2 linked regions of the Neodiprion lecontei genome follow. The protein of the gene in region 2 purifies or fractionates together with the protein of the main gene of each other region. This does not show direct contact. Links are inferred from orthologs where the notes say so. Each region holds a gene or a part of one and is shown on either strand. Other genes may lie near its edges.

Region 1 (5,487 bases), about 6.5 Mb from region 2:
TTTCAGGAATAATATGGGCTAGGAGATCCACCCCTTTTCGATAGACTAGCCGGGATACTATAACTATTGTAACTGCAAAAAAAGCTTTGATTCACTGCATGTGCAAGAAATTGAAAGATTCAAATAACCACCTTGCATAAAAGCATCTTGCAACTTGTATGAAGCCAAAGTGTTTTCATCTCTCGAGTGAAGTATCTAACAGCAAAGCGGACTAAAGAATCAAGCAGCTAGACATTGCTTGTTATAATATCGAAAAATATATTCACTAAAATCATTGTTCCTCTTGCTAACATCAGGTGTAAATAGCGCAGTGTCAACTGCGTTTGGAATGACTGACACCCTTTCTATTTGTACTTTTGCTCTTAATACGGTATTTTCTTTTCCAGTGTGCGATACACATATGCAGTGATTGCAATCTGACAGTGATATCTCTATGAATTTGTTGGTCAGGATAGCAGATGCGTCAGCAAAACCAAATAATGAATGGTCTGTGAATACAGTCTAGAACAGAATTCGTACAAGAGATTTAACATAATTCAAACTGTTTTCATTGCTAATTTCATTTATTGCTTTTCCAGGCCTCTCAGTTACGTGACATAGTATGTCCCACGAATATCTCAAGACACCTGGAAATGCGACCGCAGTTTACCTTCAGTCCCATCAGCCTCCCTATCAACATCCCTTCATGGGCTAAGGCAGAGAATGCCGAATGCCCATGGATTATCTGGATCTGTTCCCGTATGAAGATGTATCTGATCAATGGGAGAGAACAGATCATGGTGGGCAGCACACATTGATTGTAAAATACTTTTATCGGCAAGTAGTAGACCTGAAATGTATAAAAAGTAATATATTCAATGGTAGTGGTGAGTGGGAACACAAAAAGTTGATTTAACACTACAATAAGAAGTTACTCGTAGATTTTGATGAGCTGAGTGACTTGAAACAGTGTTTTTTCTATATTTTTGCAGAGGAATTAGACCCTGAATGAGCATCCAGGATTAAAAACAAAAAATTTGATCACAGGGCAAAGAAGAGTATGTACTTTCAAGCCATTCGTCATGTACCGTATTCCTACTCTATCACCATAAGAGTGCGTCAGCACTACGACTTTGTGTCCTCGACCCAATAGGCACTGGGACAAATTGAATATGTGCTCTTCCACCCCACCCATGTTCGGATAAAAGAAGTCGGAGACCATACTGAAAGAAAATATCAAGTTATGGCATTGTAACTTGCTAAAATATGAATAGGTAAGTTCATTCCAAAAGTTATCTCAGTTTGCTGTAGTCAAGGTAGGGTATGTTGCAAAAACAAGATGGATAACGAGTTGAAATAAAGGAAACAGATGTCACTTCTTAATTACAAGTCATTTGCAAATAATTGATATAGTTCAGCTTGACGATAAACTTTGACTTTGCTTTGGTGTCAGAATTTATAGGTTAGAATAGTCGAAAGCAGTAGGCATTGATATAAGGATATTTTTACAAATAGAATTAATGCTCACCATATCTTATGCCGGGTTTGTCCCATCTTGACATCTGAAACCGAGTTGTTTTTTTTACACAATTACCTCGATTTGACCTGTTTCACCACCCCCGTGTTTATCAACGAGCGTCATTGTGGATTTTGACCAGATTATTGCAGACGATAACTGCCAAACTGAATTCCCTCAATTGGCTGATGATGTGATGACGTTGCGGTGGGATAGGTGAAATGAAGCCTTTTCATTGGCTTGAAATGATAAACCCCTCCTACAAGGTGGGACCTGGTACATCAGAACCAATCATTCGGGCGTATTTTTCTCGTCGCTAGCTGTCGCTAGCACCGAGTGTCATCCTATATGCTTCGATTAATCGAGTTCCAAAAAATAATCGAACATGACTCAATTGAATCGGTAAATATTAACCGATTAATCGATTATTCCGTATTTTTTTTTTTTTTGAAACGATGCATATGAAATCAAAATGTTGTAAGTGAAAATATTCATATACGCCTTTCACTTATTATATCAAATAGGTGCTTGGTAAGTAAGACAATGTCAATTGTTGATACTTTAATCATATAAATTGATATTGTATTGTAAGGTTTCTCTCTGTATTGTATCATTCATATGGGAGTAAAAATCAAAAACCGATTGTATATAAGAAAGAACAATCGAGTCGGTCGATTAATCGAGTTTAAGAAATAATCGATTATACTCGATTAATCGGGAAAAAATGATCGATTATTTTTATGATGGTTTGGTTGGATTTGGTACGCGAGACGACGTGATCGGATATCGGATACGGGGACCTCGGAGTACGAGGCCCTGCTGCTGCTGTTGTTGTGTATACATACACAAATGGCCGTTATGTTTCACCAAAGATGCGGGGAGCGTGTTAATTTAATAAATGACAACTGTACCGCCGTCCGAAATTTCTCTGTATATAATTACGGGCTCGTATTAAGCTCCGAACCGCTCAAGGATGATGAACTCTTCGAAGTTCGCATCGATAAAAAGGTAACGATGTGCACCACTCGACATGTTATGCTGCAGTTCTCCATACTCGTACCTGTCGCCCACTGCATCGACTCGCCGAACTGTCAAATCTCCGGGATTTACAGGTTTTCATCACGCTATCGTCGCCCACGACTTTTATGGACAAACCTCGGTTTTCCAATCCGTATCTTTCACGCAGTTTCTTAATTGTAACGCCGTTTCCTGCATGCCCCGTGCTTGCATAATGTCCTCCTCAACTAGGCAAGACAATATTCTTCGCTTCGTTACTTGTCTATCAACATATCGTTTCTGCTCTTTCTTTGCCTATTTGTTTCTTCACGGTAATTTCTTTCAGATGGTATCATGGAGCGGAAGCATTGAAATCGGAGTGACATCATGTGATCCGGAGAGTATGGAGTTACCGGCATGTGCCAATAAGCTTAGACTTGGATCATGGATAATGTCAGGTTCTGGGATTATTCGTGACGGACAACCAATTGTAGAACTGTACGGGACAGATCTTGAAACGTTAGAGGAAGGAGATTTTCTTGGTGTGATGAGGACCTCAAATGTTAGTCTTAACTGTGTATTTGGTTCATTTCTCTTTTTCTTGTCGATGACTTTTTTATGTGTAGCACCGAATCTTGAACCGAGCAGAATATGAAAAGGCCAAAATGTAGGATCATCTAACTGTTTGAACTTATTCTTTTTCTTCACCTACTTTATCATTGAAAATTGGTTAACTACAAACATTTTAAGAGGATATGTTAAGAGGATTTTGTTACCAAACAAGAATTTTAATAACAAAATTAGATACTAATTGACGATTCATCGTATTTTCATTATACTTATTTCAAAATTTGAGATCAAAAGAACAAAGTAGGACAGCATTTTCTTCAAATTTCATCACTGGCTTCGTCTTGTGCACCAATTCTCTACGAATAGATGCACAAAAAAAAAGATAACTTAAATTTTATTGGATAATACAACTAGCTTAATTATTTAACAAGGTATGCACCTTTCATGAATTGCTTTTCCACCTGGAAATTATATTTAGAATTGTCTGATTTCCATGCATCCGTCACTTGTATGTTACATGAATAAACTTTAACATCTCTTGGAATGGAAGAATTATATTCCAATTAGGATTTTATAAAGTGATAAAAATAATGCAATGTTTTTTCAATACTGTCTCTGTCATTTTTGAGAATCGTTGAATAATAAACTCCCAACCGTCAATGTTTGTCAAAAATTGACCAGAGAAGATTTAATGAACTCCATTATTTTTTGATATTTATAATCCAGTCATTGAAATTATGACGACACATTTTAAAATTGAACAGACTGAAATTCATGTATTTGAAACAATTATTAGTCAAATAAATATTTTGTTTCATTTTCAGAGTGAACTAGTGTTCTATGTAAATGGAATGTCTCAAGGTGTAGCAGCTACAAATATCCCTTCACGAGTATTTGCAGTAATTGATATGTATGGTAACTGCGTCCAAGTAAGCGTCTCTCAGCCGAGGCCAACACTTTCCATAACAGACGTAACAAATGAGACAGAAATCAACAATGATCACGCACTTGCACAGACGTCAAATTCTTCAACGACAAACTTAGTTACCAATCTGAACGTTAACGTTAATGTAAATATCAACCTACCTAAGAATCCAAGCGCAGCTGCTATACGGGAGGACAGATTAAGGTTCCATGAGCGAGTCGGAACCCTCATTAAATTGTCTAACAATGCTAGAACGGCAGAGAGACGAAGACCACTTGATGAATTTAATAACGGTGTTGTAATGACGCACAGAGCATTAAGAGATAACGAGCTTTTTGAGGTAAGACTTTTCACACCTTGGCTTACCGCGATCTAATATTTTAAGTTTTCAAGTTGAAAAAGTATTTGATGTGTCATACACTGTGTTGAGTTATACTTTGCCTGGGCGAATCGATTGATTCATTAGCTTGAAGTTTGTGGTAAGGAATGTTTGCAATCTAAACAAATTTTTTAAATGTGAACCAGATTCGAATAGACAGATTAGTGGACAAATGGTCAGGAAGTATCGAAGTAGGTGTTACTACTCACAGTCCGACAGCACTAGAATTTCCCGCAACGATGACCAACATGCGATCTGGAACAACCATGATGTCTGGCTGTGGAATTCTGACCAATGGCAAGGGTACTCAGCGTGAGTACGGAGAGTTCAATTTAGACGAGTTGAGAGTAAGTTTAAATCCATGGCATAAAATGAATTCAGTGAAGCAAGATATTGCTTGCAAAGTTTGATATGGATTCCATATTACAGGAGGGTGACAGGGTGGGAATGATTAGGCGAAGTAACGGAAACCTTCATTACCTTATAAATGGTTTGGATCAAGGTATCGCCGCCAAGGTTCCCTCGGGTATTTGGGGTGTTATAGATCTTTACGGGATGACTGTTAAAGTAACCATTGTCGACCGGGATGAGAGAGAAGAACAAAATTTAGTCACTAGACGAAACACTCTGCATCTACAGGGATTAAATGGCGAAGGTAAAGTTCTTCTATTTTTCGGCATACTTTTTCTATCGACTGCTTCATCATTGTGTACTTTAATGCTAATTAAACTATATCCAGTTTTCCTTATGACAAAGTAAACTTATCCTTTCATTTATCTGTAGAAATGATAGACGATGATGCGATAGATAGACTGATGTTTCACGTTTGTTGTGGGACACATGCGGATGTAATTAATAATGGAAGAACTGCTCATAGACCCAAGTAAGCGTATAAAATGAACAATAGTATGATTTCTCAGTGATCTTGCGAAACAAGAAAGGAAAAGAAAAATTTATTAATCCAGATCCATAATGGCATGAAAACAGACCATCATATTAATAAAAATACGTTTGCAGCGCTCTAGATGATTTCAACAATGGTGTTGTACTGACTTCTCGACCGTTGCGTCCAAATGAATTATTTGAAGTTAAGTTAGACAAGATAGTTACAAAGTGGGCTGG
Region 2 (7,087 bases):
TCTTACAATTATTGTAGAGCAAATTAAAAATTTTTTCATACCTAAATTTTATGGAGTAACTTAGAGAATATATTACCAAAGTATTTTAGGTAGTATAAGCCAAAGTTATCGGAATTAGTTTTTTCAGATTTGCGTCAATCCTAGACATAAGTAGCAATGAGGATAACTTTTGTTCAAGACATTATGAATAATGAATACACATAATTCTATATCACTTTGAAATCGTGCAATATAAGCTGGTATTACATAAAAAGAAATTGAACAAGTAATCAATTTGATATTGTATCAACAAAAAATTATATTCCTAGTTACAAAAATGAATATACCACAAGAATAAGGAGGTAGATGCAAATTTAAAACAATTGAAATGATCAAATTCTTTATTGAAGCTTGAACTTTCAAATACAAGATGATACGGAATTCTGATATGAGAAAATCAGATTTTGCAGAAGCCAAAGAAGCCATAATTGAGTGATGGAAACTGCCAGGAGAAAAAAAAATTGCCAGACGTCTGAATTCTTGGCCCTGATTAAATAACCGGCGAGTACGTATCAAGGTGAAAGACAAAATAAATAAATTAGAACAACGGATGAACCTATAACAGGATAAAATTAATCAGGGAGGCGAATGATTCATTGAGTGGAAGATCCACGCCTGGGTAATATATTCGTCCGTCCGTGAAAATGATTATACGACCTTATAACTGTATAGCTCAGGTTTGATTACCCTATTAAAATCAAATAATGGTGAAACAATAGATTTTATTCAGGATGTATACGACATACTTGTCCCTCCTCTGGTGGATAGAATAATGTACCGAGATTCCCGTTCTTCACCTTGTCATTATAAGCAAAATAATTTATAGCTACTATTCGTCACTTGCGTATGAACTATCAGCGCATTATAAAGTGGAACGTGTCACTTGATTACTCGGAATTTATGTAATTTGCTGTCTGTACATGCATAAAAATTTAGCTACGAAGTGTGAATACTCTTATGTCAGTAACAACAATAAAACTAGAAGTAAAAAAAATTTACACAGATCCAAGAATGGCTAAACAGCGACTACAGCCAGGCAAGCAAACGCGAACGACGCCTGTGCCGTGAAGCTTGCAACTACCGTGCTCACTTTTCTTTTTGTGCACCAACTACGACATGACGACCGCCCACAGTACTAAGCAATCTCATGGGCGAACGCAGCCTTACCTCAGCTCCACTCTGCTCTATTTCAATCTTCAACTGTCTGCTTCAGGATGGTTTCAGGTTAAACGAACCTAACCTACTTAACCTGACCGAATTCCCGGTCGCTCCACAGGTTTGCACGTGTGGTCACCCTGTTCCGTCGGGTAATCACTTGTTTTGGGAGTGTCCATATTTTAGCCTCCCCGTGTCAAACTTAAGAACTTTCTTCAAAAACATAAAGTTACTAGAGATACTGACCTGCAAGAAATATTTCTAAAAGGGTCCACTCAGGTTATCACGGTCCTAGCAGATTTATAATTAGGAATAATCTCAACTTATGACTATGCGCATTTGCCTATTACTTTATACATCTCTGTGTCTCTGTTCAATGTTTTCTTTTGTTGTTTTTTTTTCCTGTCGTGCTGTTACATCCTTCCTGCCGAAAGCTTTGGAAACGAATATGCAACAGGGCACATTCCAGAGGGGGATAGAGGAGTAAAATAAATAAATAAATAAGTAAATGATTAGTATAAAATAGGGTTAAATATAATCTAATAGTTAAATAAAGTAAGAATAAGTTCAATTAAATACCTAAGGATCACCATAGTTCTTGAAATTCCTGGATATCCCAGGAATAAGCTAAGAGTACGTTGGCGCTTCTTTTTCGGGGGCATAGCCATTAGGAAGAAGAACCTGACCCAATCAACCCAAGACGATTCTGTAGTAGGTTGGAAACGTGTTGTTTGTTGTTCAAACAAAAATAATCAAGCACCGTAATGAGCGCGTACGGTATGAAGCTAATGAAAAAAACGTACGTAAAATTTTTGCCTAGTACAAATGATAATAATAATTATTATTATTATACGCCTTTTCAATTTCTGTGTATATCTTATCATTAAAAATTTTGAACAATACTTTCATATAGGTTATAAACATTGGAAAAACAAATAAAAGTTTAATATGTTTATTTTTTCGCTATAAATTACAAACTTTGGCGTTATCTGAAAAAATAATCAATTCGAATACAAATTTTTATTATGATTTAAAAATTAATTAATACATCCAATCTTTCAGATATCCTTACCCAGCATCTGTGCGTTGTCAAAAGTGTTTGGAAATGGGTCACTGGAGTTATGAGTGCAAAGGCAAGAGGAAATACGTTCACAGATCTTCACGAACTACGCAATTAAAAAAGGCAATAAAACAGCAAGAGGTGGAAAAATTGTAAGTTCATGTTTGTCTACTGATACGTCTTCCTAAATTCCAATAGTTTTAATTTTATCATTTCCTCTGAGTATCCGCTATATAAGATTGTTCTACAAAAAAAATGGTATTCGAATCTGCGTTTCATTTTTTCAATCGCCATCTTTAGCATTTTTTGACCTCATAACTTTTCAATAAAGTGACTCGTCTAACAATTTTCATAGGGAGCCAGAGATGACCAGTGAAACTGTGAAACAGAAAAAAAAAATTAGAAAGGAATCAAGTAGTACAAGTGATTCAGATAGCTCAAGCACAGATAGTAGTAGTTCAGACAGTTCTTCCTCCGATGATTCGGATTCCAGTGACAGCTCATCTAGCTCGAGTAGTAGCAGTGGTAGTAGTAGCAGCACCTCATCCAGTTCATCAAGCAGAGATTCTAGTTCCAGCGAAGGTACCAAATCCAGTAAAGCAAAAAAAACGAAAAAATGTAAGTTTAAATTAGTACATACGTTCAAATTAGTACCTACTCCTGTTGTAACATAGGAATGAGTTCATTCATCATTCTATATTGCGAAGTCATGCAAATTATTCTAACATTCCAATGAAGAGGACATGTTTTCTTGTTGTAGAATGAAAAAAAAATGAAGTTTTTGGATAAACAAATCAAGCCTTGTGCAAAAGGATTGACGAGTAGCAAAGTAGAAATGCGTCAAAAGGTTCCATTTACATTTTTAAATGTATGGAATCTCATATCATCGACAATCTATTTTTTATCACTTTTTTTACCATTGAATAACTTCATAGTTATTTTACTACTATTAATGTATTACTTAAGGACTTAAATATAATAATGCTATGTCAACTAATCATAAGGAAAAAAAGTATATTTAAATGAGTAAATTTGAAATATTTGCTATCTGCACTATTATTATTTATTTAAATTCCAAATTTCTAAAAGACATTTATTTATTTTCCATATGACCATTAGGCTTCTTTGTTTGGTTAATAACGTGACTGTCAACAGAACATTTACATACTATGCCATCATTATAGTTGGTCAAATGCCTGTTAGTATGTGCCCGCAGACATTCAATAATCTCGAAACGTACAAGGCTGTAGATACTAATTGGTGATACAAACTATAATATTTGTCATGAACTAGGGGCTTTGCTCCTGCTTGCATCGCATATCGTTCTGTTGTGGAAAATGGATAGTTCGTAAATGTACTCGTCAAATTGTATCGTGAGCAGTCTGGCAATATGAAAATTGTAGCCTACCATCCCCACCATTACTCTACTGAATTTACCAAGGAAAACCCAGCTGAAACGAGGATGGAGATGAATGAATAAATTACCAATTTTGTTTATTTCTCAGTCCCCTGGAGCAATGGGGTGATAAGACAGAGCCTGTGTTAGTTTGATAATCATAAGAATGATATTGGTAACCCATTAAAAATCAGTCTAGCAGTTTTTTATTTATACTGCACACATATGCAGCTGTCTCATTATCATACTAATATTAGCACAACATTGTTCATTTCTTGAAAATGTTATGAGATCCCGTTTATGCAGCATGAAAATACAATTCCTTTTATATACATATTATATAATGGGATAATTTTTCTCCAATTCTTCGTTAAAATATATTCTATACAAAAGAATATTGTTAGTCTCTTAGCCAAGCGTAATCTTATCTTAGGTTCCGATTTTCGAATCTAAAAGCTATTATGTATATTGGTCAGCAGCTACTTCATAGAATCAGCCATGTAGGATCCTATATAATAACCATACCAAAATATCATGTAAATATATGGCATACAGAGAGCTACAGGGACTCATCAGACAAGATACTATTCAAATCCATACATCTGTTTGTAAAATATTACAACTCACTAATGAGTTGCAAAGAATGTATATTATTTTTTCATGATCTTAAGCATTGTTCAAACTGATCTGTTACACATATCAAATCAATCAGTAACGAGTTCAGCATTTTCGTTGAAAGTTTGATAATCAAATATTTCAACAGTTTCAGTTGCGCATGCATTTTTCAAGACAAAAAAATGGTTTGTGAAAGAAATATATCACAACTCTTGGGAAGTTGTAATATTCCGAGTGACTTTACATGACCTGACTATACCAGAAGTTTCCTACAATGCCTCATCCAATATCCTTGTTATGTTAATGGCGAACGTTTATGGTTTGGCAGGTGTCAAACAGATTAAGAAATTCTTGCAGATAATCGGTACATGCATTACTTCAAAGTACCGTTGTTTTGGTAAAAATCGTAGTTTCAAACAAGTCCATGTAAACAAAGCTCCATTAATTTTATGATGAGGAATATTGATGTCTTCGATATCTCGGTGTTTCGGTATTTCAGTATCAGTATTGCAAGATCATGCTGATGCCGTTATATTGTGCAAAGAAATTACCAAACAATCTTCGGTATACCTTTTTCCATATGATATCAACTGACCAGAAGTCACAGCATGATGGGTGTCCACCAGGGATTGACAGTGGTGTTCTCTTGGCAGTGAGCAAAGGCTACAAATACATTGAAGAGCTACCACCATAAGCCTGTTCTCCATCCAGATGTAGACAAATATATTGAGTTGATATTTAGAGATCTAATTGTGACAGTTACAATGCTATGACAGAAGATACACACCAAATTCAAACGGGAGCTTCAACAACGTACTTTGGTAATAGCACCCGAGATCAACCATAGCAGTTCACACATTGGAAACATTGCCGCTAATACAGCGACATGAATTTTTAACTCCGGAACCAAATTAAAAGGAAAGCTGATTGGTACTGCGAAGTAGACGATGAGGAGCACATTCATATCAACCAAATTGAAACTAAACAGGCGACCCGTGAAGAGGAATTCAGTGTAAATAGGTAAGAATTGATGCTGGAATAGTAAATTATGACCCTGGAATCACTGACGGTAAATTGAAGAAAAAAAATATATCTTGCACATAATTTCTTGGCCAAACGTTGAACTCAGTTATCTTAAAACATCAATTTGGAAGTCGATTCTCAAAATATTTCGAAAATGGTTCGACTGATTTGCTGCAATTTTTATACAATGTTTTGTGACATTTTTTCTTATTCACACGGGAGAATTTTTTTTAAAACCCCGAGGGTCGAAAATTATGGACGACGAACGAACATCATGTTCGAACTGTCGGCATTTCTGTAAAAATAAGTTTCAGGATAGAAATCTACCATCACGGACTACTCTATATATTATATTTTAAGATTCCCTTTGAATTCTATGTTTCAGATGAACCGACTGCACGGATTCCTGGATCCATGAGGAATACGTTTTACGCTGGACAAGATAACAGTGATTCCAGAAAATGGGTTCCTGTAAAAAAAAAAAAATTTATACATGCACCTGCATGTATACGGCTTTCAAATGAAAAAATCTGATTCAAATGGAATTATTAGCTTATGAGATAAACATTCCCGAAATTGCTCTTGCGGTCTACTGGTACATTACCCCTTGATAATCTCCATCAGTCTCCAGTAAAAATACTTCTTTTATATCAAAATTATAGCAGTGTTATAGATAGCAAAAATAACTCTGTATTAATTACTACGCGTTGATGGGATGATAATAAATTCAATTCTTGAACATCATAATGCTACAATACATACATACTATTGATCTCAAACCTACCCTTTTCAACACAATGCCGATTTATTTATACATTAAAAAGTTTGACCCAAAATTCCTCGCTCATATTATTGTGAAGGCACCTATATATCAACTTGAATGTGACCAATATCAATAATAAAATGTCCGCTCAAATGAATTCACATATTTTCTGAAGATTGATTTTGACATTGTGGTATAATAAGATGAAGTGTATTTATAAAATTAAAGCCTATTACATATCAAACTAAGGCCACTTTCTTCAACTTATATCTTAAAAGTTATATTCTATTGTCAATTGGTTTGTTCGTGCTAGCTACACTTTTTATACTTTTTACACTTTTGTGTGAGGATACCATCACTATAATATATTGTGAAAGTGTAGATAGTGTAATTGGCAGGAACAAACCAAATGCTTTCAGCTTCATCATTAAATATAATAAAGAATATAAAAATATGGATTTCAATTTGGATAGCCATGAATCATCATTACAGTCTGGTGTGATGTTAGTATGCTATAAATTTACTAAAAAACAAATTGGAATATTTTTTCTATTCAAACTCTGAAAAAATATTACCCTAATAATGTTTGATCATGTGAAATATACAGTATTCAAAGCACTTACACTCCAGAATAGGCATTGCGCTTCAGGGACGACAGCTAATACTATAGAAATGACTATTTTCTGCTTTTTTTTTCAACTATCCAAGGGTGCTTCATCACAGCAGGTAGTGGAATTCTGTCAGAGCTCTTCCTTTTAATCAGCTATAACATATCAACAAGTTAACATGTTAAAAATATCCGTACTACAATTTGAATATGAAAGCAGATACTTATAAAAAAAAAAGGAATTGTTGCAATATTAAAGTACAGGGTGAATGTAGTAGAATACTCAAGTAAGTAGACTAAATACTTTGCGACAATTCACTGGCCCAAATTTTAACATCCCAGAGTACAGGTGGAAAGCAAAATTATGCTAAAGTACATTCGTCATCAATGCTACAAAATTTGAGCATTCTTGTTCATACCTTCGATATA

The links. The genes of interacting proteins can lie anywhere in the genome.
Region 1: the proteins of zinc finger CCHC domain-containing protein 10 (region 2) and neuralized-like protein 4 purify together in Homo sapiens (co-immunoprecipitation; 3 studies listed by BioGRID and IntAct, with this or other methods). This does not show direct contact. The link is inferred for Neodiprion lecontei from reciprocal best matches to the Homo sapiens genes ZCCHC10 and NEURL4.

The regions. Positions count from the first base shown.
Region 1 is NC_060263.1:40,957,946-40,963,432, reverse strand, and holds the start of neuralized-like protein 4, read left to right. Parts: upstream 1-2,257; 5' UTR 2,258-2,344; coding exon 2,345-2,503; intron 2,504-2,607; exon of another isoform or gene 2,608-2,743; intron 2,744-2,837; coding exon 2,838-3,053; intron 3,054-3,885; coding exon 3,886-4,326; intron 4,327-4,511; coding exon 4,512-4,712; intron 4,713-4,794; coding exon 4,795-5,020; intron 5,021-5,148; coding exon 5,149-5,248; intron 5,249-5,382; coding exon 5,383-5,487. Other genes in the region: phosphatidylinositol N-acetylglucosaminyltransferase subunit A, read right to left, coding at 1-72, 267-501, 650-829, 1,046-1,202, 1,508-1,533. UniProt on the Homo sapiens protein: Promotes CCP110 ubiquitination and proteasome-dependent degradation. By counteracting accumulation of CP110, maintains normal centriolar homeostasis and preventing formation of ectopic microtubular organizing centers.
Region 2 is NC_060263.1:34,455,336-34,462,422, reverse strand, and holds zinc finger CCHC domain-containing protein 10, read left to right. Parts: upstream 1-1,862; 5' UTR 1,863-1,958; coding exon 1,959-1,993; intron 1,994-2,256; coding exon 2,257-2,406; intron 2,407-2,609; coding exon 2,610-2,928; 3' UTR 2,929-3,014; coding exon of another isoform or gene 3,015-3,016; 3' UTR 3,017-4,863; coding exon of another isoform or gene 4,864-4,865; 3' UTR 4,866-6,045; downstream 6,046-7,087. Other genes in the region: E3 ubiquitin-protein ligase Arkadia, read right to left, coding at 1,774-1,862; aurora kinase C, read right to left, coding at 6,728-6,814, 7,078-7,087.